7 linked regions of the Macaca mulatta genome follow. The protein of the gene in region 7 purifies or fractionates together with the protein of the main gene of each other region. This does not show direct contact. Links are inferred from orthologs where the notes say so. Each region holds a gene or a part of one and is shown on either strand. Other genes may lie near its edges.

Evidence for each region.
Region 1: the proteins of PTGES3 (region 7) and DYRK1B purify together in Homo sapiens (affinity purification with mass spectrometry; 3 studies listed by BioGRID and IntAct, with this or other methods). This does not show direct contact. The link is inferred for Macaca mulatta from reciprocal best matches to the Homo sapiens genes PTGES3 and DYRK1B.
Region 2: the proteins of PTGES3 (region 7) and SMYD2 purify together in Homo sapiens (affinity purification with mass spectrometry; 3 studies listed by BioGRID and IntAct, with this or other methods). This does not show direct contact. The link is inferred for Macaca mulatta from reciprocal best matches to the Homo sapiens genes PTGES3 and SMYD2.
Region 3: the proteins of PTGES3 (region 7) and FKBP4 purify together in Homo sapiens (affinity purification with mass spectrometry; 3 studies listed by BioGRID and IntAct, with this or other methods). This does not show direct contact. The link is inferred for Macaca mulatta from reciprocal best matches to the Homo sapiens genes PTGES3 and FKBP4.
Region 4: the proteins of PTGES3 (region 7) and PPP5C purify together in Homo sapiens (affinity purification with mass spectrometry; 5 studies listed by BioGRID and IntAct, with this or other methods). This does not show direct contact. The link is inferred for Macaca mulatta from reciprocal best matches to the Homo sapiens genes PTGES3 and PPP5C.
Region 5: the proteins of PTGES3 (region 7) and AAR2 purify together in Homo sapiens (affinity purification with mass spectrometry; 3 studies listed by BioGRID and IntAct, with this or other methods). This does not show direct contact. The link is inferred for Macaca mulatta from reciprocal best matches to the Homo sapiens genes PTGES3 and AAR2.
Region 6: the proteins of PTGES3 (region 7) and EGLN1 purify together in Homo sapiens (affinity purification with mass spectrometry; 5 studies listed by BioGRID and IntAct, with this or other methods). This does not show direct contact. The link is inferred for Macaca mulatta from reciprocal best matches to the Homo sapiens genes PTGES3 and EGLN1.

What each region holds. Positions count from the first base shown.
Region 1 is NC_133424.1:50,957,804-50,960,954, reverse strand, and holds part of DYRK1B (dual specificity tyrosine-phosphorylation-regulated kinase 1B), read left to right. Parts: intron 1-383; coding exon 384-503; intron 504-603; coding exon 604-792; intron 793-1,141; coding exon 1,142-1,289; intron 1,290-2,566; coding exon 2,567-2,853; intron 2,854-3,151.
Region 2 is NC_133406.1:71,982,662-71,986,881, forward strand, and holds the start of SMYD2 (N-lysine methyltransferase SMYD2), read left to right. Parts: upstream 1-1,420; 5' UTR 1,421-1,481; coding exon 1,482-1,654; intron 1,655-4,220. UniProt on the Homo sapiens protein: Protein-lysine N-methyltransferase that methylates both histones and non-histone proteins, including p53/TP53 and RB1. Specifically trimethylates histone H3 'Lys-4' (H3K4me3) in vivo. The activity requires interaction with HSP90alpha.
Region 3 is NC_133416.1:3,691,458-3,695,547, forward strand, and holds the start of FKBP4 (peptidyl-prolyl cis-trans isomerase FKBP4), read left to right. Parts: upstream 1-1,290; 5' UTR 1,291-1,373; coding exon 1,374-1,478; intron 1,479-3,377; coding exon 3,378-3,522; intron 3,523-3,963; coding exon 3,964-4,090. UniProt on the Homo sapiens protein: Immunophilin protein with PPIase and co-chaperone activities. Component of steroid receptors heterocomplexes through interaction with heat-shock protein 90 (HSP90).
Region 4 is NC_133424.1:58,852,597-58,856,096, forward strand, and holds part of PPP5C (serine/threonine-protein phosphatase 5), read left to right. Parts: intron 1-105; coding exon 106-347; intron 348-1,757; exon of another isoform or gene 1,758-3,328; intron 3,329-3,500. UniProt on the Homo sapiens protein: Serine/threonine-protein phosphatase that dephosphorylates a myriad of proteins involved in different signaling pathways including the kinases CSNK1E, ASK1/MAP3K5, PRKDC and RAF1, the nuclear receptors NR3C1, PPARG, ESR1 and ESR2, SMAD proteins and TAU/MAPT.
Region 5 is NC_133415.1:89,072,301-89,076,559, forward strand, and holds the start of AAR2 (protein AAR2 homolog), read left to right. Parts: upstream 1-1,459; 5' UTR 1,460-2,038; intron 2,039-4,259. UniProt on the Homo sapiens protein: Component of the U5 snRNP complex that is required for spliceosome assembly and for pre-mRNA splicing.
Region 6 is NC_133406.1:17,609,915-17,614,008, forward strand, and holds the start of EGLN1 (egl nine homolog 1), read left to right. Parts: upstream 1-1,294; 5' UTR 1,295-1,723; coding exon 1,724-2,614; intron 2,615-4,094. UniProt on the Homo sapiens protein: Cellular oxygen sensor that catalyzes, under normoxic conditions, the post-translational formation of 4-hydroxyproline in hypoxia-inducible factor (HIF) alpha proteins.
Region 7 is NC_133416.1:63,846,373-63,849,872, reverse strand, and holds part of PTGES3 (prostaglandin E synthase 3), read left to right. Parts: intron 1-2,521; coding exon 2,522-2,635; intron 2,636-2,772; coding exon 2,773-2,842; intron 2,843-3,500. UniProt on the Homo sapiens protein: Cytosolic prostaglandin synthase that catalyzes the oxidoreduction of prostaglandin endoperoxide H2 (PGH2) to prostaglandin E2 (PGE2).

The sequences.
Region 1 (3,151 bases), on a different chromosome or scaffold from region 7:
TGAGATAGAGGAACTTCAGAGGATACCCAGAATGGCTGGCTTCACAGTGAAGAATGGGGAGGAACAGAGCCCAGATTTTCCATATAATCTCTCCCACTGAGGTTCAGAAAGGAGTAAAGGTGAGGGGTGAAAGGTCAGGGTTCACTCATTCACATCACAGGTCTGAAAGAGTATCCATTGTGTGCCAGGCCCTGCTTTAGGCACTGGAGGTACAGTAAGAACAAGAGAAAGTCTCAGCCCTGGGGGAGTTTCTTTCCTAAATGGGTGGAACAAATACAGACAGCAACCAAATACATGATGCGCCAGCAGCCCTTATAGTTCTTCCTCTTGAGGTTGGAGGTAAAGGCCCGCCCTCAGTGCCCACCCCTCACCCTGCCCTGCAGGTATTGCCTGATGTGCGGCTACTGCCTCGGAGGCTGCCCCTGGCCTTCCGAGATGCAACCTCAGCCCCGCTGCGTAAGCTCTCTGTGGACCTCATCAAGACCTACAAGCACATCAATGAGGTGGGCAGGGGCTGGGGGATCCTGGGCTGGGTGCCGAGGGTCTTGGCTGCTGGCATGAGTCACTCACCAGTCCCCATCTCCTGGCTGGCTGGCTGGGCAGGTATACTATGCGAAGAAGAAGCGGCGGGCCCAGCAGGTGCCACCCCAGGATTCGAGCACCAAGAAGGAGAAGAAGGTCCTGAACCATGGTTATGATGACGACAACCATGACTACATCGTGCGCAGTGGCGAGCGCTGGCTGGAGCGCTATGAGATTGACTCGCTCATTGGCAAAGGCTCCTTTGGCCAGGTGTGGGACACCCCCCTCTCCCACCCTGATCCAAGGCCCCACTAACATTGACCACATACCCAGTGGTTCAGTGGCTTCAAATCCCATGCTGGGCCACTCACCCTAGCCCACTTAGTTTCCCTGTGCCTCAGTTGCCTTTTCTGTAAAACAGTTTAAATAACAAGACTCAACATAAGGTGGTATGTTATTTCACGTCCAGCGTTTCCACCAGTGCCTGACTAATGGTGTGCACTCAACTGCGAAGTATGCATAGTGTTCTCGGTGGGCCTCCTTGCCTGGAGGGAGGAGAATGGTGCCTGGCTCTGCCCTGCCCCCACCCCTTTCTTCTTGACATGCCCTGCCCCAACAGGTGGTGAAAGCCTATGACCATCAGACCCAGGAGCTTGTGGCCATCAAGATCATCAAGAACAAAAAGGCCTTCCTGAACCAGGCCCAGATTGAGCTGCGGCTGCTGGAGCTGATGAACCAGCATGACACCGAGATGAAGTACTACATAGGTGAGGCCCGGGACTGGCAGGGCTGTGGGCACCTGGGATAGTGGGAGCTGGAGCCAGTAGGGATGGGTCACACCCCTGCCCCACCCTCAGGAGGAGGCTGACATCTTCAGAGCAGGGTTTGATCTGTGCTTCACTGACATCAGTGATTCTCCTGCTGCTTTTATGGTTTTTGTCCTATTTACTTGGTAGTGGTCAGAGGTTACTGAGTGCTCACCAACGGCCAGGCTGTCTTGGAAGCACTTTATGTAAGTTAACTCACCACAGCCCATAAGGGGAAGGGCATTATTACCAACATCTTGAAGAAACAAAACCCGGGCTTCCATCCTAGTTTCTTCTTCAATAAAACAAACAAAAACAAACAAAAAAAATGGGCTGGGTGCGTGGCTCACGCCTGTAATCCCAGCACTTTGGGAGGCCGAGGTGGGTGGATCATGAGGTCAAGAGATGGAGACCATCCTGGCCAACATGGTGAAACCCTGTCTCTACTAAAAATATGAAAAAATTAGCTTGATGTGGTGGCACGCGCCTGTAGTCCCAGCTACTCGGGAGGCTGAGGCAGGAGAATCGCTTGAACCTTAGAGGCGGAGGTTGCAATGAGCCAAGACCATGCCACTGCACTCCAGCCTGGTGACAGAGCGAGACTCTATCTTAAAAAACAAACAAACAACCAAACAATAATAACAACAAAAACGAAGAAAGGAAAAAAGAAACCCAGGGATTCAAGTGCTGTCACTTGCATGAGGGGGCAGTTTGTACTAATTGAGCTATAATTTGATGAGGCCGTGGACTCCAGAGCTGTTACTCTTAACATCTGTGCCAGTCTTTCTCCTCCCTTAAACTGATTCCTCTTAATGGACATAAACATCACAACATAATCATAAACAGCAAGTGGATTTTAAAATGGTTTCGTTTGAAAGGAAAATGTACATCCTTAAAGTAGATGGAAAACTAGTGTCCTTTGCCACAAAAATGAATACAAGGGAGATGAAAGCAGTGTTACGAAATTAAAGGAGGAAGTGTAGAATGTGTTAGAGCTAGTAGTAACTAATGAAACTTTCTCGTTTGTTTAATTGGAGGGTTTGACAGAGACTTGGAAAGAGCGTTAACTTCCTGTGTGAACCTAGTTGTTTGTTAGATAAAAAGATCTTGACTAGCAGATGGTACCCGTGGGCACAGCACATGTGGCTAGTGATCAAAGAGTGTTGTATGACCCCAGGCCACCACCTGCCCTCTCTGAGCCATTTTTTCTCTGGCCCATTTTCTCCCCTCCCTCGCAGTGCACCTGAAGCGGCACTTCATGTTCCGGAACCACCTGTGCCTGGTGTTCGAGCTGCTGTCCTACAACCTGTATGACCTCCTGCGCAACACCCACTTCCGCGGCGTCTCGCTGAACCTGACCCGGAAGCTGGCGCAGCAGCTCTGCACGGCACTGCTCTTTCTGGCCACGCCTGAGCTCAGCATCATTCACTGCGACCTCAAGCCCGAAAACATCTTGCTCTGCAACCCCAAGCGCAGCGCCATCAAGATCGTGGACTTCGGCAGTTCCTGCCAGCTTGGCCAGAGGGTACGGGGCAGCCCGGTCCTGGGAGCAGGGCTAGTGGTTTGGGTGAGGCAGGGCCAACAGGAGGCTTAGGGGCGGGGCTTGGCTGGGATGGGATTATTAGGAACTGCTGGAAGTGAAGGATAGTGCTTGGGGTGGGGGTGTGGATGTACTGCCCACTAGGATGGGGAGGGTGAAGCCTGAGGGGGCAGGGCTCGTTTTGAAGCTGCCAGATGTGAACAGGGTAAAGTTGGGTTGGGTTTGAGCCCTGGGTGCTGCTTTACTAAGTTTTTGTGTTCTGTGTTCTTAAAGCCGGGGATGG
Region 2 (4,220 bases), on a different chromosome or scaffold from region 7:
GTTTTCTTTTGAGACAAGGTCTTGCTCTGTCACCCAGGCTGGAGTATGATGGAGTCATCACAGCTCACTGCAGCCTTGACTTCCCAGGCTCAAGCAATCCTCCTACCTCAGCACCACTTGAGAGGTGGTTAATTTCCCATAGAGATGGGGTCTTTATGTTGCCCAAGCTGGTCTCCAACTCTCCAATTCCTGGGCTCAAGTGATCCTCCCACCTTGGCCTCCCACAGCGTTGGGATTACAGGGCTGAGTCACTACACCCAGCTGAGAAAGCTGTTTTACTGAAATGCCAAAAATTCCACTGATTTTACATCTCCAATCATATTCATCCTTTCCCCTTGCTAAACCAGTCCTGAACTTACAGAGGTAACTGTTTGAGGTTCTAGTTTGAAGTAGTATTTTCTGCTAAATGATCTCGTCACAATTTTAGTCTTTACTGCATGTACGTCAATTCCAGTCTTTACATAATCATGTGGAACACGGATTATATTTTCCTTTCTCATATGAAAAGTAATAGCGTGCATGTGTACAGGATTTACGTTTCAGGCTTTGTGGGCTTTAAATCCTCTGACTCCTAACCCAAGTGACTTTTCTAAGATCACAGTTGGTGGGTGGTCAAGCATATTAAAACCACTGCAAACTCTAGCGCAGTGTCCTGGACACTGGCCACAGCATCGCATTATCCCCCAACAGCCTAAATTCCTTGAAGGCAAGGTTATCTCTGGCTTCCTCTGCATCGTTCGCAGCATGCAGAGACTCGGTGAGCTGGGCTGGCCAGTGCATTTCCTCTTCCGTCAATGTAATTCTACTAGAGGAGCAGAGGGCAAACTACGTTCCCATTAAAGCCACAAGGTTTAAAAACCTCTAACCTTGGAAAAGTACACGTCAACCCTCTGCACAGCAAAATTCTCTACTGTGGTTTCCCCTCTGCCGCTTTCTCCTTGGCGTTCCCGATCACTGCCTTCAGGGGTCTTTACAAGGGCAAGTGAACGTAGGGTTTGGGGGCCGGCTTCGCCCCCTTCTATTTACCGGGTGCTGGTGGTCATCCTTCGGGCCAGGCTGACTGTCTAGGGGTGGCCCTGGGATACCTGCTCCGCGCAGGTGACCCCCCTCCCACCGAGGAGGGCGCGTCCCGCTTGCTCCGTGGAGACGCCGCGGAGGCGCACACGCCTCACGCCCTCCTCGCAGAAGCCACAGGGGCTGCGGCTCTTTGTCGCGGCCACACCGGAAACGGCCCGGAGCGCGCGCGGGGCGGCCGCCGAGGGTCCCGGCGCAGGGCGGGGCCGCCGGGCCCGTCCCCCTCCCCGCGGGGGCGCGCGAGGCCCGGGCGGGGCCGCCGTCCCTTCCGGGGAGCAGGGAGCCGCCGCCGTGTCCGCCGGGCGGCTCCCACCCCGCCCCCCGCAGCTCTGGGTGACGCGTCTCCAATAACAGCTCGCCAGGAGCCGCAGCTCGGGCACAGCCGGCGCCCGCGCCCCGCCGCCACCATGAGGGCCGAGGGCCTCGGCGGCCTGGAGCGCTTCTGCAGCCCGGGCAAGGGCCGGGGGCTGCGGGCTCTGCAGCCCTTCCAGGTGGGGGACTTGCTGTTCTCCTGCCCGGCCTATGCCTACGTGCTCACGGTCAACGAGCGGGGCAACCACTGCGAGTACTGCTTCGCCAGGTAGGGCGGCGGCGGCGGGCGGGAGCCGGGGGCGCCGAGCGGGAGGCTTGGATCGCGGCGCCAGGAAGTGCGTGCGGCTCGCGGGGTCCTAGCGCCGGCCTCTAGGGCGGGGTGGGAGGCGGGGAGGGGAGGAGGCCCCGCGCTGAAGCCTCACGCCGGGCACCACGTGCGAGAGGAAACAGGACCGGTGCCCACTGCACGCCCTGCGCTGCACGTTTTCAGTTGCTCACGCAGGATGCGCAAACTCGGGAGTGCAGGTTCCTGCCTTCAAATGTGAGCTCCGAGCCAGGCTTGTTCCAAGCCTGGGCACTCACTGCCCTCCCGGTGCATTGGCAGTGGAGCCCCAAATTTGGGCAGCCACGGGCTGTCACCTTTAACTTATACTTCCTGCGGTGTATGCTGCTCCCCACAGGCCAGCCCTGCTTCAAATTGGCTGTTTCTTCCAAGGAATTTAATGACTTAGTATATGTCTTGTAAAGTACGTTTACGTGTTAAAGTACGCTTACATGGGTGTTTGGAGGGACGCCAGTGAGCACTGACCACACGCCCTGGATTCTGAGGCGCTGCAACGATGAGTTGCAGTGTCCAGTTTTGGTTTGGAAATAGGAAGACATGGTCGCAGTAAGGGATTGGGCAAGATGTGTGGTTGCTAACGGTATTTAATTGCAAGATACCATATGTATATATGTGCCTGTGTTTGTATATATGATGCATATACATTGGCACACACCAACACATATAATTATATCCTCAACTCTTATGAGAGTTTCAGAGCTGAAAGGCACATCAGAAATCACCAATTCGATCCTGTTTTTCACTTAATAGATGAGAAAACTAAAGCCCAGAGAGAAAGTGGGGTTACCTTTATCCATTCACACCAGTAGTGAAGGGAGTGAAATCTGGCCTCATTCACTTCTGCCTGTTTCTCACTGGTTAGGTGCTCAGTAAATTGACTAAGGCAGGAGGCATGGCTTTGGGGTTAAGTTTATATCAGGCCTTCCAGTACTCTGAGTAGAGACCGTGTTTTGCTTTCTTTGAACCTCAGTTTCTTCATCTTTGAAATGGAGATTCCTGGGCTGGATTAAGCTGACCTGCAGTCCTGCAGGGACCTTTTGAGTACAGGTCTCAGGTCCAGCATACTCAATCTCTCAGACCTGTGTGCCTTATTCTACAATAAGACGTAGCAAAAGAAGGGACAAAGGCTAAATATTGTAGTAATCTTGCCCAGACTCCCTGCCAGAACTGTCTTCCGCTTGGGGGGACCTGGAAAGGAACTAGACACGGAATCATGCCGTGGGCAGCTTAAGGGCTGTATGTGATGTGGCTCTTTGAATTGGTGAGCCAAGAGCTAAAGGGTCATGGCACCACTTTGCAACGTTTGAGTGAAGTGAGCATTGGGTTTTCCCAAAGTTAAAAAGGCTGCTGTGACTGGTCCCTTGATCTTCTGAGCCTTGCTGTGGCTCGGAGTCTGCAGCAGCGTGGGTGTCTGCAGTGGCAGGAGCAAAGCAGGTCAGGCAGCACCGAAGGAGCCTCCATCAGGGATCCTGGCAATTCCTGGAAGCCATCACCTAAGACCATGGATGCCAGGCACATAGTAGGTGCTTACTTTATATGGGTAGTTGCCGTTCCTGGCCCCCAGTGAATGAAAGATCAAATCCCTCTGGGTTTAGAAGGGATTAGAAGAACTGAGAGATGCTTCTGTTTAGCCGTAAGTCTCCTAATTGTTTCTACTACACATACTCCCAACCTTAGAACATTAGTGGATAGTGAGATGCAACTTCACAAGCATTCAGCCTGGATTATTCTGCCATATGTGACAGTTTGCTGCCTTTTTTGTTACTGCATTTTTCTGATTGACATTTATTAGTGTTATTCACTGTTGCCTTGGGTCCCTCACCAGGGCTGCAACTTGCAATGGCGTGTTATTACGACTTGCAAACCCCTTCTCTGTTTGATTTCCCTGAACTTCTGTCAATACCCATAGTTTATTTCCTTTCTGTTTCCCCAAAGAATTTTTTGAAATCAATTAAAATAATACAGAAGAAATGACAGCCATGATACTTACGCAATTAGAAATATCTGTGTACCCTACTTTATGATTTCTATGAAATCTGAATCGTTTAGTATTAGTGGTTAGATCATCTGATAGATTCAGCATCAGTTTCTCTGTCAACAATTCGTATATGACCTAGGACAAATCAGTCTGTCCAGATGTATGAGAGGAACGTGTGTTTTCCTCCATAGGGCCTCAAAGTATTGGAGTAGAATTCTGCAAATGTTCATACATACAGGTCAAAATCTGCTGCCTGCCTCAGCCCCACACACCCAAAAGAAAGCTACCCCTTATCCTTTCTTTTGCCGGAAGTTTAACGTAAACAGTATTGCTTAAGATAAATGAACGACGCAAGAATTTCCATGTCATATTAATTGTATCAGGATCTAACTTTTTTTTGAAGGAAAGAAAAGTGATTTCTTTAGGTAGGAATAAGTATATTCTACAAATTGAGAAATAATGGAAAATGTCTTAAGTCTCAACAGAATGGGATTCTTATGGTCAGAGCAATTC
Region 3 (4,090 bases), about 60 Mb from region 7:
TGGGCAACATGGCGAAACTAAAATACAAAAATTAGTGGGTGCGGTGGTGGACACCTGTCGTCCCAGCTACAGAGAGCCAAGATCGCACCACTGCACTGCAACCTGGGAGACAGAGTGAGACCCTGTCTCAAAAAAAAAAAAAAAAAAAAAAAAGAAAGAAAGAAAAAAAGTCAGCCAAGACTTGGAAAAGTTAATTTAAAAAAGGAAAATTCATGCAGCCAGTAACTATTGGACACCACTCACCAGGCACTATGCTAAACTGGGGTTAGGTGCTGACCAAAACCAGGCCCCTCTCTAGATGGCTTTGTAGGTCCCACGACCATGGCTTAGGTGACACGGGCAGTTGCGCGCTCCACAGGCTGTCGAAAACCACTCGGGAAACAAACATTGAGAGGAAAAGACTCCTTCTGGAAAACCGAGTGACTTTTCTCGTGAGGGGCACCCACGTGTGTAAGCATTCGCAGAAACGGCAGCTGTATTACCGCCGGGAAGGGTCCCCTGAGTGCGCGCCCCGTCTGAGTTCCGAGCTGGGCGGGCCATGCCTCGCCAACCCCGCTGCTCGCAGCATCTGCAGGCGCCGGGGTAGGCACCGCTGCGTGACCCGGGCTTCCCGGCTCTGGGGAAATCGAGGTCGCTTTCCCCGGCTCTCGGCAGCGGGGCAGCGTTGTCCGCTCACTCCCCCCTCCCCGGACGCCCTCACCCTCTTTCCCCCAGGTAGGGAAGGGTCTACGCGGGTCATAGCGGAGAGACCACGCCGCCCGTGGTGACGGCCCGTCCCGGGGAGGGGGCGCCGCCACTGCCATCCCGCCGCCAGCGCTCCCCACACATCGCCGCAGGCGCAGCGGACTGGTGGAGTGATGTCGGGAGATCGATCGAGAAGAATCTGGAAGAATCCGGTTAGACAGGGAAGCGGGCGGGGATGGGAGGGAGGGAGGAAGGGCCAGGGGAGGCCGCTGGGGAGACTCCCCAGAGTCCGAGGGTCCCCGGAGAAGGGGGAGGGGGCAGGCAGCCAGAAGGAGGCAAGAACCAGAAAAAAAAAGAAAAAAGATTCTGAAGCGCCCGCAGCACTCAGCCCGAACCGGCTCAGTCCCGCCGTCTCTAGAAAGTTCTGCACCCCGCCCCCTCTGTCCGCGCTCCCGCTCCTCCCAGCCCCTCCCTCGCGGCGGGGCGGGACCAATCGCTCCCCGAGCGGCTCCTGACCCACCTACCCCCGCTCCCGCGCCGCGTGCAGAGGTGCTCGAGCCTCCTCGCGGTCCGCAGTCAGTGCCGCCGCGCCCGGCCTCCCGCACGCGCCGCAGGTAGCGCCCCCGCCAGCGGCCCAGGGTGCGCTCGCGCCGGTGCCAGCTCCCGGAGAAACGGCGCGCCGCGCGGAGATGACAGCCGAGGAGATGAAGGCGGCCGAGAGCGGGGCGCAGTCGGCGCCGCTGCCCATTGAGGGAGTGGACATCAGCCCCAAACAGGACGAAGGCGTGCTGAAGGTGAGGGGCGGCGGGGCCTGCGGGGGCGGCCGAACCTGGGGCCCTGCGGGCCGCCCTTCCGCCGAGCCCGGAGCCCGCGGCCGGGCACGGGTCGAGGCGGCCGCCTCTGCAGCCTCGCGGCCGTCCTGCCGGGGGCCGGTGGCATCGCCGTCCCGTACCGGGCTGCGTCGTTTGAGGCACCGAGGCCGACCATGCGCTCAGCAGGAGGGCGGCCTAGGTGCGCGGGCCGAGGCCCCAGGCTCCCCAGTCCCCAGCGCCCGGGCCGGGGCAGGGGGTCCGGATTGCAGTGCCCACCCCGGCGCGCGCGGGGCGGCGGAGAGGGGCGGGGCGACCGCCGCGGGCACGCGAGCCGCAGCCCGGGGCCAGGCCGGGCCTCCCGCGCCACGCCGCCCCCGACCCCCGCGGCCCCAGCGGAGCTGCCAGCCGCGGGGGCCGCCTCGTTAGTGGCGGTGCCAGGGCTCGCCCACCCGGGCGGTGGAACACGGGCCAGGACGGGGAGCGACTCCCCACAGTGCTTTCCTGGCCCGGCGGCCTTTGTGCGACGCAGGCGCGACAGGGTTCCGGCGCCCTCCCGGGGTCCCCTGGCGACGCCGGGACCCAGCGTGGTCCCCACTCGCCGCGCGCGGCGCCCCCTCCCTCGGCCCCGGGGAGGCCGGGCGCGGGGCATGCCGGGAGCTGTAGTCCCCTCCCCCCCGCCGCCTCCCCGAGCCGGGACTGCGGGGTGTGGGGCGGAGAGGAGGCGCTCTGCTGTGGAGCCTGCCGCCGAGTGACCGCTCGACTACAAATAGCCTGGGGAGCTGTGGGGAGGGCATCTTGACCTGGGCCAGGACAACCTGCCATGGGTCGGAGCAGGTTCCGGGGAGAGTCCGGAGAGGAATTCCCAGCCCGCGTCTTATGCCTTCTCCCCATCCGCTGCTCCTCCTCATCCTGGCTTCCCACCGCTGAGCTCCGCGTGTGTGGCACCCGCCTCAGGGGGCCTTTAGCTGGTCCAGAAGTGCATCTGTCTTTGCACCAGATTATTGGGGACCTCGAGCGTCTGCTCCAGCGGCTCTCCTGTGGCATGTGGCTTCCCCTTCTCGCTCCAGCGTCCTGCTGTTTTCTATGAGATTGTTATTCCGGGAAGGGTCATTTCCCCTTTGATCCGCCATTCCTTCCCTTTTACCTTTCTACTCCTCCAAGACCCTGTCCATTCTCCATGGAAGCTTTCCCTTAGAGGGTAACCACACACCTACCAGGTGGCGCTAAAGGAACCTGTGCGTTGCTGGGAAATAACTCCAGCCCTGGTCTTAAACAGCCTACCAGTGAGGAATACTCCGCTCCCAAGTCAGAGTTTAAGGTCCCATGGAGAGCCTCTGGGTTCACTTATAACCTGGTTTCTTCCTTACCTGTTTTGAACTGTTTCTGTTCTCTTCACTCATACTCCTCTCGTTCTCCTGTCTCCAAACCAGACCTTAATCTGATGACCACTGGCATGAAGGAAGAAGGAGGAAGTGTGGCATAAATACTTCCCCCTTTGTCGATGATAATAATGATCTATTATTCAACCCTTTACTGGTCTAATCTTCCAACAAACTGTAGGAGATAGGGATTATCATCACTGCTTTACAAATAAGGTGTGGAGAATTTTTAAAACTTATCCATACAGCGGAAACTTGAACTCAAATCTCTCAGCCTTTTGTCTCCTTTTTCAAACCAAGTCTTGCTGTACCTGAAGAAAGACAGGGAGGTTAGTTGACTCCTAAGTCAAGTTGCTAGTAGCTGAATCTGGAGGGACAAGTAGGCAGAGGAGGATGAACCCAGAGAAGCCCCTTTATGTTCCCTCTGGAGGCTTGCAGGCAGTGTTGGTGCCCCTTTCGGCCCCAAACCCTGGGTTACTCACTTTCTCCCCCTTCCTCCCAGGTCATCAAGAGAGAGGGCACAGGTACAGAGATGCCCATGATTGGGGACCGAGTCTTTGTCCACTATACTGGCTGGCTATTAGATGGCACAAAGTTTGACTCCAGTCTGGATCGCAAGGACAAATTCTCCTTTGACCTGGGAAAAGGTAGGCGTGGTCAGTGGGCTGGTAGGATAGGTTCGAGGTGGACACAAGCTGTCACAAGCAGAAACCATTTTCTCAGGACCAAGCTCAGGGAGGAATGGTTTATCACAGTCTGTTAACTCTTTCGGTCACTCTTTTTTTTTCTACCGTTCTGTAACTATACTGATCTTTGTCTCCCCTTCTCCTCATCACCTCCCAACACCTTACTCCCCCTTCAAAGGTGGACTGTCTTGCATCTTAAACTCTTTTGTTCAGGGTCAGGTGATCTTTTACAGTTCTTAGACCTGGTAGCACTTAATGCAACCAGGTATCTCACCTTCTGGTCCCATTTCTAAAGGATGTTCAGCTTCCCCATGAGTGTGGTGCATTAACTCTTCAGAAGCACTGTTTGAGCCCAGAATCAGAACCCTGCTAAAGTGGTCCTGTTTGCCTCTGTACCTGCAGGGGAGGTCATCAAGGCTTGGGACATTGCCATAGCAACCATGAAGGTGGGGGAGGTGTGCCACATCACCTGCAAACCAGAATATGCCTACGGTTCAGCAGGCAGTCCTCCAAAGATTCCCCCCAGTGC
Region 4 (3,500 bases), on a different chromosome or scaffold from region 7:
CTCAGCTTCCCCGTCTGTGAACAGGGAGACTGGGCGTCACCCAGCCCGGGGCCTGTCCTCGCGGGGTTGGAGCACTGCCTCATGCCTCTTCCTGCATCTCCGCAGCCAAGGACTATGAGAACGCCATCAAGTTCTACAGCCAGGCCATCGAGCTGAACCCCAGCAACGCCATCTACTATGGCAACCGCAGCCTGGCCTACCTGCGCACCGAGTGCTATGGCTACGCACTGGGAGATGCCACGCGGGCCATCGAGCTGGACAAGAAATACATCAAGGGTTATTACCGCCGGGCTGCCAGCAACATGGCACTGGGCAAGTTCCGGGCCGCGCTGCGAGACTACGAGACGGTGAGCTGGGGAGTGGGCCAGGCCTGGCACCTGAGCCAGGCGGATACCGAGGGCCAGGCTGGCGGGGATGGGTGTGAGGAGCCATTCACGCCTCTAGTCACCACTTAGCCAGCCAGCGAGTGCCTGTGGGGCCCTGGGCCCAGGCCACAGCTCTGCTCAGTCATCTCACACTTTGTGACCCTGGGCCAGTTACCCTGCCTCTCTGCACCTTCCTTTCCGCATCTGTGAAATGAGGAGAACGAGAGGATCAGCCTGAAGGGCAGCTGTGAGGAAAAGTGAGCTTCTGCTTTTCACATGAGTAGACCAGTACCCGGCGCAGGGTCGCGTCCTGTGATGGTTCACCTGATGGTGACTGTCATTGTTAGTGCCGGTGCTGGACAGGAGCCACACAGCCTCCCTTCTTCTGGTAGAGCTTGTCTTTCAGGGGCAGGCAGAAAACCCACCGCTGAATAGGTTAGCAAAATAATTGCAGATGAGGATCTGCACTTCGAAGGAAAGAGGAAGGGAAGTCGGGCGCGGTGGCTCACGACAGTAATCCCAGCACTTTGGGAGGCCAGAGTGGGAGGATTGCTTGAGCCCAGGAGTTTAAGACAAGCCTGGGCCACATGGGGAGGAGACCTCATCTCTACAAAAAATACAAAAATAAACCAAACGTGGTGGCACACACCTTTAGTCCCAGCTACTCAGGAGGCTGAGGCAAGAGGATCACTTGAGCCCAGGAGCTCAAGGCTGCAGTGAGCTGTGCTCTCACCACTGCACTCTAGCCTGGGGGACACAGTGAGACCCTGTCTCAAAAAAAAAAAAAAAAAAAGAAAAAACAGGAAGGGTGATAACGCTGCCAGGGACAGCAGGCGGGATGTGTGTGATATGCTGATGAGGGAGGGGACCTAGGGCACAGTGAGAATTCTCTAGTGCCCTCAGCCACCTGATGAAAATCCTGATGCGTGAGGCCCTGCAGAGCGAGCGCACACCTTCACACCAGGTATGCTCTGCACCTTCCTTCAGGGAGGCTGGCTGAATCATCGCAGCACCCTGGGACGTGGGAACTGGGATTACTCCCCTTGCACGGATGAGGAAACTGAGTCCCTAAGGGGTGAAGTCACCTGCCCATCTGGTTAGCGGCAGAGCTGGGATTTGAACCCAGGAGGTCTGGCCCTCAGGGCCTTGTCTCTCCCACCTCAGAGTTCGCTCCCTGAGATGGGGACGTGTGTTTGTCCTGCGCGTGGGGACGGTGCAGCAGGGGCTGTGTGTCTTGTGTGTCGAGAGGATTGTTATCCTGCCGCCACACACAGACACTTCACTCCCTCCTTCGGTTGCAGCCATCACACTTGGAGCTGCTTCTGTCATGTAGGGAGGGGCAACCAGGGAGCTGGGAGCCATGAGTCTGCAGTTGGTGTGGGGCTGAGAATCAGGAGTCTGCAGTCGGTGGAGCCAGCTCAGATGACTGGACCGGCTATTGGCCGCTGGGGTGGAGGGTGGACTTCAAGCCAGGTGAAGGCTTGAGCCAAACATGGGGCTAGGGGACACGTGTTAGGATGGGGGCAGAGATGTGGCGGGGGGTTAGGGTGACACCTAGAAGGGTTGGAGCAGGGACAGCAGAGCAGAGGCCTTCCCAACTTGGGCTCTCAAGCCATTCTTGACCAGGCCCCTCCCTCATTGTCTCTTGGTGTCCTAATCTAGAAAATGGTGACGGGAGGAGTGGCCACCTCTGGGTGGCAGTGGCTGTGATGACGTGGTTGAGTAAAGGTCACGAGCTGCAGGGCTCAGTAATGAGTAACCAAGAAGGACAGTCGGTGTTGGGTTGGGGCAGGGCTCCAGGTGAGAAGGGGGCCTGGGGAGACAGTGGGGCAGAAGAGAGGAGCCCCAAGGACAGGTTTCGGGCAGGGTCTTCGTCGCATGTGGGGCTGCAGGAGCGTCTTTCCCCAGGGTAAGGAGCAGGAGCTCTTTTCAAGGCTCTGGCCCAGTCTAGGGCCCAAGCCCGCATACTCCCTGAGGCTGGACTGGTTGGCTTCAGCCATCTTGTGGGTATGCCACGTCTGAGCTATGTCCCAGGCCTGGCAGATGGCAGGGAGGGTTGAGGGGGTGGGGAATTCAGAGCCTTTTACAGAACACCCAGCACCTAAATTGTCATGGCCCATTTCCCCATGGGGGCTCTCCCAGCAGCATTGGGGACCCCCACATGAGCCTGAGGGCTTACCTGTCATCAGGCCATCCACATGCCTGCAGGCCTCCAGCCCTGCTCCCTTCTGCACAATTCTTCAGGCTCCGTGTGCCCTGGGGCAGTTCATCTTCCCAAGACTAGACCTCCTGCTTGCCAGATGCTAGAGTTTCCTGCTGGACCAGGAGCTCGCCAGGGAAGCAGAGCAAACACGTGACCTTGACCTTGGGCAAGGAAGCTCCCCTTAGCCTGAGTTTCCTCAGCTGTCTGCTCACTCTGGGCCCAGCACTGCTGGGAGCCCTTTGTGCACCTGAATTCAGCCTGAATTCAGCCTGAAGCCTAGAGAGGGGATGTCCCTCCTCCAGGGTCACCCAGCAGGGAAGTGGCAGAGCTGAGACTTGAACCCCCAATCCATGCTTGTAACTGTTTCTGGGCCACAATCAGTTGAATAGCTTCAGCACTTTTGTCCTCGTCAAATAGAGAAAAGAAAACGGGTCATTGTTTGGAGCAAATGTGTATAAATATTGTTTTATGGAAATTACTTTTCATTTACACAAGTACAGATGAGTGTTGCGTATGATACAAAAATCCCTGTTTTACATGTGGGCTGCAGGCAGAGGGTCTGAGGTCACCAGTGCAGGGGCTAGAGGGGCAGGCTCTGGGCTCAGGATGCCTAGGTTCACAGCCAGCTCAGATTGGGTAGCAGCTGCATGGCTCCCAGTGCCTTTTTTCCCAGCCTCACTGTCCTCATCTGTTAAAGGAGGTGAGAATATAGAAATAACAATCAAAGAGTTTTTTCTTTCTTTGTTTTTTGTTTGAGGCAGTCTTGCTCTGTCGCCCAGGCTGGAGTGCAGTGGCACAAATCTTGGCTCACTGCAACCTCTGCCTCTTGGGTTCAGTGATCCTCCCAGTTCAGCCTCCCAAGTAGCTGGGGCTACAGGTGTGCGCCATCATGCCCAGGTAATTTTTGTAATTTTTGTGGAGATGGGGTTTCA
Region 5 (4,259 bases), on a different chromosome or scaffold from region 7:
CTGGGAATACACATACCTTACTAGGGTTAGTGCAAGGATTAGAAATACTCAAGTGGGCTGGGTGCGGTGGCTCACGCCTGTAATCCCAATACTTTGAGAGGCCGAGGTGGGTGGATCACCTGAGGTCAGGAGTTCAAAACCAGCCTGGCCAACAAGGTGAAACCTGGTCTCTACTAAAAATACAAAAATTAGCTGGGCATACTGGTGTGCACCTGTAATCCCAGCTACTAGGGAGGCTGAGGCAGGAGAATTGCTTGAACCTGGGAGGCAGAAGTTGCAGTGAGCTGAGAATGTACCACTGTGCTCCAGCCTGGGCAACAAGAGCAAGACTTTATCGCAAAACAAAAACAAAAAAAGAAGGCAGTCCAGGCGTGGTGGCTCACCCCTGTAATCCCAGCACTTTGGGAGGCTGAGGCAGTGGATCACCTGAGGTCAGGAGGTCGAGACCAGCCTGGCCAACATGGTGAAACCTTGTTTCTACTAAAAATAAAATAATTAGCTGGGCATAGTGGCAGGCGCCTGTAATCGGGAGGCTGAGGCAGGAGAATGGCTTGAACCCAGGAGGCAGAGGTTGCAGTGAGCCGAGATCGCGCCATTGCACTCCAGCCTGGGTGACAGAGTGAGACTGTGACTCAAAGAAAAAAAAAAAGAAAAGAAAGAAAGACCCAAGTTGCCTGCCCTAAAATCACATAAGCCAATTCTTTGCAATAAATCACTTAATATAGATCTCCTACTGGCTCTGCATCTTTGGTGGAACCCTGATTAATAGTGCAGGGTTAGACTCACAAATAGAAGTGATTTATTAATACCAAATTATCATCATTATTAATTAAATGCATAATATATGTACTCAGCTGAGCTTTTGTGCCTGGCTTTGTGCTCGGTTCCAGGGAAACAGTGAGGAACAAGACAGGCAGCTTCTTCCCTCGAGCGTTGATAGCCTGACTAAGACGTTAGGACTTGGCCTGCCGGAAGGACGCAGGGTCAGAGGGACTGAGGTGGTGACTGCTGCTCCTGCAGCAGCAGAGGCTGACGCTGGTTCTCTCTGGGCTGGGTTTCTGAGGCTCTCCCCGAGGGCTGAGTGTGACTGGAAGCTGAGACATTGTGACCCGGATAGAGACTGGCTGACAAAGACAGTGACCGAGCGCCTGACTGGCTACTACTGAATAGTAGCCATTGGTACAAGTCTTGGTTATGCTTTAGTGACCATGACTGCTTGCGCCCAAAGTAAGATGGCTGGTGTCTGTGTTTCTGGAAGGGGATATAAAATGCAAAGGTTAATGAAAGTTGTTCACAGTTCAGAAGCTAAAACGAGAAACTAAGAATAGCAAAAGGCAACATTGCATCCGGCGGAACCTGCAGGTACGGGCCATTCTTCCCGCGACCCAGGGCTCGGCCGGACCGCTTTCCCCGTGGCTCCAGTCAGACGCCAAAGCGGGAGAACTTCCGGTGCGTTTCCGCGGTACCAGAACGTGGGGCGAGGCGGTGAGTGTGGCCTCCTGGCCTCTTTTTCCTTTCCTGATTCCCTGTGTATGTGTGGCCGGGCCGCCCCTCTTCTCGGCTCAGAGTCACGGAGTGCCTTGAACTAGGCCCACCTCGCTGGGGCGGCTGGTTCTCTGCTTGTGGGACGCTGGTGTCTCTGGAGGCCCTTCCTGAGAAGCCGTTACCAGGGCTTCCCGGGTCACACGGAGTTACTTCGCGTTTTTCTTAACTTTAGAGCCTGGGGGCCGGAGACCCTGATTGCACTCGACGTGGCTCTGCCCTACTCTCTGCGTGACTTCCAGTAAGGTCTTTCCCCGAATTGAGCTTTTGTTTCTCGTTTACCAAATGGATATCATACTTGTATTAAATAAATATTTACTAGGCGTCGAATCTGTGCTAGGGATACAGCAGGACTCAAGTCTTGTGGCGATGACAGCCCACAATCAAACATCCAAAACTGCAGTGGTGATCATTGAAACGGAATGGTACAAGGCACCCCACGGTATATCACAGGAGACCTGATCTAGCCCCAGGTCAAGGAACCTTTACTGAGGAGGTGAATATTGAGTTGCGATCAGAAAAAAGGATTTGACCGAGTGGGGAGGGAAGAGTTTTCTATCTGAAGAGAGAGAGCCTCCAATTTCAGGGTCTGAAAGAGGCCGTTGTGGCTGGAACAGAGAGCTTGTGGGGGACCATGATGTGAAACAAGCTAAAGGGGTTGCCAGGGGTCAGACCGTGCAGGCTTTGTAGGTAATAGGAAGAATTTTGGTTTTTCAAGAACCAGGTGGGAAACCACTCAGAAGCTGACATGGGTGGTGATGTGATTAGATTGGTATTTTGAAAAGGTTACTGCTCTTGAGTGGATAATGGATTGAGGAGCAAGCACTCTGGGTGAGAGACGATGGTAGCTTGCATTAGGGAGGTGGTGGAGAGAAGTGGATGGATGTGACTTTAGGTGTTCCAGGACTGTGAGGAACTCACAGAGCTGTCAGTGACAGAGGTTGGTAGACTGCAGAGTTCTATGCATATTTAATAAACCTTTTCCTAGCATCTCCTCTGTGCCAGGCCCTGTGCCAGCTGCTGGAGATATAGTGAATAGAATTACAGACTGGTGGAATTAGAATGAAAGAAATGTCATTATCAAGGAGGAGCACACAGATGTCACAAGGCAAAATGGCTAATTGATGAGCAGTTATTCTAAATGGAATATCTGTTCATTCAGCAAACATGAAATACTTTCTGAATTCAGGATTACAAATAGGAAGATGATACGAATTATTATTATTATTATTATTATTATTATTATTTTGAGATGGAATCTCGCTGTGTCCTCCAGGCTGGAGTGCAGTGGTGTGATCTTGGCTCACTGCAACCTCCGCTTCCCAGGTTCAAGCGCTTCTTCTGTCTCAGCCTGTCAAGTAGCTGAGACTACAGGCACGCACCACCATGCGCAGCTAATTTTTTTGTATTTTTAGTAGAGACAGGGTTTCACCATATTGGCCAGGCTGGTCTCAAACTCCTGACCTCGTTGTCTGTCCACCTCGGCCTCCCAATGTGCTGGGATTACAGGCGTGAGCCACCGTGCCCTGCCTGTTGATATGAATTATTTAGAGCAGTGTCTTTCAAACCTTTATGACTGTGACCTACAGTAACAAATACATTTTATGACACAACCAAGTGTACACACAAAGCTCCAGAAAACAGTACTTAGCTTTACTACTCTTGATGTATTGTGATATTTCAAAATTTCTGTTATTTTCATTTAAAAAATAATGCTGTTGAGACCTTTATATTGATTTCCTAATCCACAAATGGGTTGTGACTTGCAGTTTGGTGAAACGCAAAGTGTGGATTCAGGGTAAGAGTCACTTGCGGTGGTTCTGAGGTAACGATGTTAAAATGTGCTCTTATTTTTGGAAAAGGATTGGTCTTCCTTTCTGCACTGTTTTATTTTGTTTTATTTAAAGTAAAAAGAGTAAACAGGGCCAGGCATGGTGGCTCACACCTGTAATCTCAGCACTTTGGGAGGCTGAGGCAGGCGGATCACTTGAGTTCAGGAGTTCCCGATAAGCCTGGGCAACATGGTGAAATCCTCTCTCTACTAAAAGTACCAAACTTAGCCAGGCATGGTGGCACATACCTGTAGTCTCAGCTACTTGGGAGGCTGAGGCACAAGAATCGCTTGAACCTGGGAGGTGGAGGATATAGTGAGCCGAGATCATGCCACTGCACTCCAACCGGGGTGACAAAGCAAGACCCTGTCTCGGAAAAAAAAAAAAAAAAAGTAAACAGAATTAAACAGGCAGCTGGTTTTTCTGTGTGTGAAATTTTGGCATCTTGGCTAGATTGGAATTGCCTAGAGGGCAGTGACTGTCTTAATCTGTGATGTTTCTTTGGGGGCCTGGCAAAGATCCTGGCACAATGCAGGCACTCAGTGAGTATTTGTTAAATTAATCAGGTAGGTATCTTTGGACTAGAAGGTTAGATAATGGTTTGTTTACATTTGTTTGTGTTGGTACCATTCTTGCCGATATCCCAGAGGCAATGTCTGGGATATTTAGAAGTAGGTAAAATAAGTGTACTAAGCTCTTTCTCTTCTGGCCTGCTTTCTCTTCCTAGGCCAGCTTTACCACCTGAATTCATTCTGGATGAATGGTCCAGAGCCACCACTGATTGTGGGCTCTTTGGGAAGTTGTTTCACTCTCTGGAATTTAGGTTTTCTATGAGTGAAAGAAGAGGGGAGATTTGTGGTTGAAAAGCTCTCTAGACCTCGAACA
Region 6 (4,094 bases), on a different chromosome or scaffold from region 7:
CATCCTCTCACTTGATTGGATCCCCAGAATGCCATTAAACGGATGCAGCAGAATTTTTTAACAGTTTTAAATTCTGTATATTTGATGAAGAGGTTTTATATTTTTGGATTCAAGCCTCTTTTTAAACTTCTACAATGTGGTTCACAAAAATTCCTCATATCCTGCTTTTGAAATATATATTGCAGCTTTCGTAAGTTGGGAAGGTTACATTTCAAGGACTAAAGTTACAGTATACTCAAGGGGTACACAAGCCTAGCACCGCATTTTCCAGAGTGTTCGATAAAGATTGTTAAACTCTAAATCACAGGCCTTTTAATTCTTAAGATAAATAGCAGCAGAAAGAAACATCTTTGGCTTATTTCTGGTAAGGTTTTTATGCTCTATAAAACAAAGAATTGTATTCATCCGCGCAGCACAGATTCTATTAAAAATAAATGTGAGAGTTGTTAATGTAGTACTGCTCATTTACCACCAAAATTCACTCTTCAGGAATAATTCCATCAGTTTAAATTGGATATTGGAATGAGCATTGATTACCTCATGTAATTTGGTAGCCCAAAATTTCTTCATGGAGTTTTGAAGTCACCGGGATTTCAAAGGTTTTAATGAGTTTTTAATTTTTTTAAAATCCTCAAATTTCATTACCTTTAAATTAGGTTGAAACGGGGCGCAAGAGATTGGATTAACACCACAGTAATACTTACTTTGTTCTTAACCATTTCAGGGCTTCTTGAAATAGAGACTGTATGGTGTAATGGAAAAAGCCTTGGAATCTGAGAGCCTGATTCCTGGATTCAGTCCCAGTTCTGCGTGACCTTGGACAAGTTACTTCACTTCTCTGAATTTCCGTTTCCTCCTCTGCAAAATGAGGATAGCAACAGCCACCTTGCAACCCTTACTGGAGCGCGCCCCGCACACCCCGCGCCTGCCTCGACGAAGAGCAGCCATGATTACGACGCCGCCGCCGCCGCTCCGCTACCCGCTTGCGGCTGGCGCCCTCCCCCAGCAGGTGTAGGCGCTGCCGCGCTGCCCCACGCCTTTCCGCAGCTCGCGGGCCTGCGCTTCGGCGTCCCCAAGGAGGCCGCTGCAGGCTGAGGTAGCGCACCGGCCTCTCGCGTCCCAGTCCCGCCCTGGGCGGAGGCAGTGCAGGCGACCCAGCTCGGAGGCCGAGGCCCGGCCCCACGGAGTGCGGAGGAGCGCAGGCGGCCCCCGCCCCTCGGCCCTCCCCCCCGGCCCTCCCTCCGCCCCCTCCGCCCTTGCGCGCCGCCCGCCCGGGTCGCCGCGGGGCCGTGGTGTACGTGCAGAGCGCGCAGAGCGAGTGGCGCCCGCATGCCCTACGCTCCTCCACAGCCTGGGCCGGGCCGCCGAGGAGGCTGAGGCGGCGGCGGCGGCGGCGGCGGAGAGGGCCGGTCTTGCGCTCCCCAGGCCCGCGCGCTTGAGTCCAGGTTGCCATTCGCCGCACAGGCCGCATTCTCTCAGCCCTCGGCAGCGATGAGGCGCTGAGGCGGCCGCCGGCGCTGCGCCGGAGACTAGGACTCGGAAGCGGCCGGGCCGAGGGCGCGGGGTACCGGCCTCCCTGAGGCGAGGGTAGTGGGTACATGGCGCAGTAACGGCCCCTATCTCTCTCCCCGCTCCCCAGCCTCGGGCGAGGCCGTCCGGCCGCCACCCCTCTTGCTCGGCCGCCGCCGCCGCCGCTGCCGCCGCCGCCGCCGCCGCCGCCGCCATGGCCAATGACAGCGGCGGGCCCGGCGGGCCGAGCCCGAGCGAGCGAGACCGGCAGTACTGCGAGCTGTGCGGGAAGATGGAGAACCTGCTGCGCTGCAGCCGCTGCCGCAGCTCCTTCTACTGCTGCAAGGAGCACCAGCGTCAGGACTGGAAGAAGCACAAGCTCGTGTGCCAGGGCAGCGAGAGCGCCCTCGGCCCCGGAGTGGGCCCGCACCAGCACTCCGGCCCCGCGCCGCCGGTTGCAGCGCCGCCGCCCAGGGCCGGGGCCCGGGAGCCCAGGAAGGCAGCGGCGCGCCGGGACAACGCCTCCGGGGACGCGGCCAAGGCAAAAGCAAAGGGCAAGCCCCCGGCCGACCCCGCGGCGGCCGCGTCGCCGTCTCGCGCGGCCCCGGGCGGCCAGGGCTCGGCGGTGGCTGCCGAGGCCGAGCCCGGGAAGGAGGAGCCGCCGGCCCGCTCATCGCTGTTCCAGGAGAAGGCGAACCTGTACCCCCCGAGCAACACGCCCGGGGATGCGCTGAGCCCCAGCGGCGGCCTGCGGCCCAACGGGCAGACGAAGCCCCTGCCGGCGCTGAAGCTGGCGCTCGAGTACATCGTGCCGTGCATGAACAAGCACGGCATCTGTGTGGTGGACGACTTCCTCGGCAAGGAGACCGGACAGCAGATCGGCGACGAGGTGCGCGCCCTGCACGACACCGGGAAGTTCACGGACGGGCAGCTGGTCAGCCAGAAGAGCGACTCGTCCAAGGATATCCGAGGCGATAAGATCACCTGGATCGAGGGCAAGGAGCCCGGCTGCGAAACCATTGGGCTGCTCATGAGCAGCATGGACGACCTGATCCGCCACTGTAACGGGAAGCTGGGCAGCTACAAAATCAATGGCCGGACGAAAGTAAGTGTGTGCTGCGGGTTTGTGCTGGACAGACCCTTCTCGGCGGGCAGTCCCTGCCTGCGACTGTAACCGCCTAGGCTGAGAAGCAGCATTCCTCTGTATAGAAGGGACTCGTTGTGTAGCACCCCGTAAGGAAGACGGACAGAATTTGTAGTGGCTGTTTATCTAGTTAGCCCCTTTGTGTCCGCTGTTTTCCACTTACTGCCCGTTCACAAACTTCTCCGGCTAATTGCATGGTTTTCTGGCTAAACGTAGGCTCTTTAACTTTGCTATTTTCTTTCTTCCATTTCACTGTTGGTCACAATTCAAACCTTAGTGGCGTTTTAGCCACCCAGTGAGGGGGTGTTAGAGTACCACCCAAACCAAGTCCTGGTTCTGCATGTGCCTTGTGTTTGCATACGCTCTTGAATTTCCTATGGTGTCTGAACCACTCATCACATTTTGATTGAGAGTCAAACGCTATGTGCAGTGAAGAGTTTGCCAGCTGACCACAAAAAGGTAAATTTAAAATACGCATTTAGTCGAAAGACTGTCTATATTCAGGAAGAGCTTGGCTACTCACCTCCCCCTCTTATAGCTCTTATCCCTTACCCTGTTCCTACTGTTTTGAAACCCTTTACAAAAAGGGGAAAGAAGTATTTCCGTTTTCAGACTTCTCAGTGTAGGTAGGCTACATTTTTAGCATAAGTTTCCTTTATTTGCTTTGTTAATGTAATCCTTCTGTTGAAAACTGTTTTGTAACTTCCTGGAAAAAAACAAAACAAAACAAACAAAAACAACCACAACATGGAATTGGAGCAGGAGGCTCGTTTTATCCTCCCAATTTGGTGAGTTTTTGTTTTCTCTTTACCGTTGCGGTTTTTCCTCCACAGATTCTTCACTTCCTACCTAGTCTATTCCTAGCTCTTTCCTCCTTCATGATAAACAGTAGACTCTTTCCTCCTTAATACTCTCTTGCAGCTTTTTTTCATTTTACTTCTCAGATCTTGATCTTTTCTGTGTATATAGCTGCTCCCAGGCCGCCCTCCTTCACCATCAGTCTCTGTCTGATTTTGTGAGTTTTGAGAGATTGACCTGGGAGAGCATCACAGTTGCATGTTTGTACACACACGCTGACTCTTAACCAGTGGTTCTTTTTTATGTGTGCGTCAGATCATTTACTTTGACAGTCATTACATGTGATTCTCAGGCTGCCGGAAAGGCTGAACATAGGCAGGGAGAAAGTTACAAACATGAAAATGTGGGGAAAAATACAATGTGAAATCTAATTTACGTATTGCCACTTCATTGCTGGGTGAAGGCACAAGTCTTGATTTCTTGTAGTCTTAAAAAGGAACAGTTGAATAATATTAAACTGGAAGGGAAAGGGGGATCTGATGAAATCTCAGCCTTGGTCTTTCACTAGATTTGCGTTGATATTTTTAAGAAAGAACGTTGTCATGGATCACATCTGAACATAAAGTCCCGAGCTCCAGAGCAG
Region 7 (3,500 bases):
GGGATTACAGGCGCCCGCCACCACGCCCAGCTAATTTTTTGTATTTTTAGTAGAGATAGGGTTTCATCGTGTTTGCCAGGCTGGTCTCGAACTCCTGACCTTAGGTGATCCACCCACCTTGGCCTCCCAAAGTGCTGGGGATTACAGGCGTGAGCCACCGCACTCGACCCTGTTTGTAGTTTTAATGTGTTAGCCAACTTGTATAAAGGGTCAGCCAGTAAATATTAGGCTTTGCAGGCCACAAATACCTCTCTCATTCACATTCTTCTTTTTTTTGGTCTCATTCTGTTGCCTAGGCTGGAGTGCAGTGGTGTAATCTTGGCTCATTGCAATCTCTGCCTCCCGGGTTTGTTTTTTTTGTTTTGTTTTGTTTTTTAATATTTAAAAAATGTAGGAATCATTTTTGGCTCATGGCCTAACCACAGGTTTTGATAATTTAAATTTGTTTTATTATCTGGGACGTGATTATAAGCTTGCTAAGGCTTTTTTCCTTTTTGAGACAGAGTCTCGCTCTGTCACCCAGACTGGAGTGCAGTGGTGTGATCTTGGCTCACTGCAACCTCCACCTCCTGACTTCAGCTGATTGGCCTGCCTCAGCCTCCCAAATAGCTGGGACTACAGGCGCATGCGACCACACCCCGCTAATTTTCGTATTTTTAGTAGAGACGGGGTTTCACCATATTGGCCAGGCTGGTCTTGAACTCCTGACCTCGTGATCCACCTGCCTCTGCCTCCGAAAGTGCTGGGATTACAGGCATGAGCCACCGTGCTGTGGCCCCCCCCCCCTTTTTTCTTTTTCTTTTTTTTTGAGACAGAATTTCTTTTTTTTTTTTTTTTGAGACGGAGTCTCGCTCTGCCGCCCAGGCTGGAGTGCAGTGGCCGGATCTCAGCTCACTGCAGGCTCCGCCTCCCGGGTTCACGCAATTCTCCTGCCTCAGCCTCCCCAGTAGCTGGGACTACAGGCGCCCGCCACCTCGCCCGGCTAGTTTTTTTTTTTTGTATTTTTTAGTAGAGACGGGGTTTCACCGTGTCAGCCAGGATGGTCTCGATCTCGTGATCCGCCCGCCTCGGCCTCCCAAAGTGCTGGGATTACAGGCTTGAGCCACCGCGCCCGGCCGACAGAATTTTACTCTTGTTGCCCAGGCTGGAATGCAATGGCACGATCTTAGCTCACTGAAACCCCTCCACTTCCCAGGTTCAAGCGATTCTCCTGACTCAGCCTCTTAAGCTGAGATTACAGGCATGCACCACCACACCCGGCTAATTTTTTTTTTTGAGATGGAGTCTCGCTCTGCCGCCCAGGCTGTAGTGCAGTAGTTTGATTTCGGCTCCCTGCAAGCTCTGCCTCCCGGGTTCACACCTTTCTCCTGCCTCAGCCTCCCACGTAGCTGCGACTTAAGGCGCTCACCGCCACGCCCGGCTACTTTTTTATGATTTTAGTAGAGACGGGGTTTCTCCATGTTGGTGAGGCTGGTCTTGAATTCTCGACCTCAGCCTGCTAAGGCTTTTATAAGAAAGTATCACACACTGGGTGGCTTAAACAGCAGAAATTTATTTCCTCACATTTCCAGGAGGCTGAAAATCCAAGGCGAAGGTGTCAGCAGTCCTTTCCTTGTTTCCTTGGTTTGCAGATAGCTATTTTCTTTCTTCCCTCTGTGTTAATCTCTTCGTATAGAAGAACAACAGTCATTGGATTAGGGTCTACCCTAAGACCTCATATTTACTTAATTGTAACTTAAAGATGCTATTTCCAAATATAATCACATTCTTAAGGTGTACTGGGGGTTAGGACTTCAATGTATTAATTTTGAGGAAACTGATAAAATTCTAGATTGCTTAATTTGAGGAAAGGAGATTCATTCTCCTGGTTTTAGTGAACTTAAAAAGTAAAGCTCTGATGTACCAGTTTTTTTTGGTGTTGTTTTGGGACAAGAGTCTCTGTTGCCCAGTTGGGAATGCAGTGGCATGATCTCAGCTCACTGCAACCTCCACCTCCCGGATTCAAGTTATTCTTGTGCCTCAGTCCCAACCCTCAAGTATCTGGGACTACAGGCCGCATAACCATGCCCAGCTAATTTTATTTATTTATTTATTTATTTATTTATTTTGTATTTTTAGTAGAGTCGGAGTTTTGCTATGCTGGCCAGGCTGGTCTCTAGCTCTCCTGGCCTCAAGTGATCCACCTGCCTTGGCCTCCCAAAGTGCTGGGATTACAGGTGTGAGCCACTGCACCCAGCCAAGTAACATAATTTTTGATAGGACTAGATAAATGGCTAACACTACTAAGCATTGTTTGGTTTTTGAATCCTTCCTACTATGAAATTGGAATCATTCTGAAACTAAATCTTGTTAGACCCTTAGGTTTTAACTTGGAATGTAGCTGTTAGGGTAAAAATGTAGTTTTTGTTTAAAATTGTAATGAACTGCCCTGAAATAATGCTATAATAGTGTCGAAGGTTAGTATGTAAATGTTTAATTAATGAATTCCAGCTTGACTTTCCCCACTTTAATCCTTTTGTAGGCAGCCTGCTTCTGCAAAGTGGTACGATCGAAGGGACTATGTCTTCATTGAATTTTGTGTTGAAGACAGTAAGGATGTTAATGTAAATTTTGAAAAATCCAAACTTACATTCAGGTAAGTTAAGCTTTTTATCCAGTGATGTAAAATAGTAATTCACACAACTGAATAACTTGGCTTGTCTTTTCGTTGAAGATATTATTAATCTTTGTCTCTTTGAAGAGGCTTAATTCTTTCTTTATTATTTTATACAGTTGTCTCGGAGGAAGTGATAATTTTAAGCATTTAAATGAAATTGATCTTTTTCACTGTATTGATCCAAATGTAAGTAGTCTTGATGCTTTAATCCAGATTTAAGTTGTGAGGAAGCAGACATACCAAGTATTCTTTTTAGCAATAAGCATTAGCTCTGTTTTTCTTAACAGTGAGATAGACTAGGTATATTTACATTTTGTAGAATATTTCCTCCAAAATTGGTTTCTGCATACTTTTTGTTTTTGCTATTACTGTTTGGGCTTAGAGAAGTATCCTTGAGGCTTGTTTTATTTTTTGTTTGTTTTGTTTGTTTTTTGTTTTTTGAGAAGGAGTCTCACTCTATCGCCCAGGCTGGAGTGCAGTGGCCAGATCTCAGCTCACTGCAAGCTCCGCTTCCCGGGTTTATGCCATTCTCCTGCCTCAGCCTCCCTAGTAGCTGGGACTACAGGCGCCCGCCACCTCACCCGGCTAGTTTTTTTGTATTTTTTAGTAGAGACGGGGTTTCACCGTGTTAGCCAGGATGGTCTCGATCTCCTGACCTTGTGATCCGCCCGTCTCGGCCTCCTAAAGTGCTGGGATTACAGGCTTGAGCCACCGCTCCGGCCGTTTGTTTTGTTTTTTGTTTGTTTTTGTTTTTTGAGACTACTGCAGTGCAATGGTGCAATCCTGGCTCACTGTAACCTCTGCCTCCTAGGTTCAAGGGATTTTCCTGCCTCAGCCTCTGGAG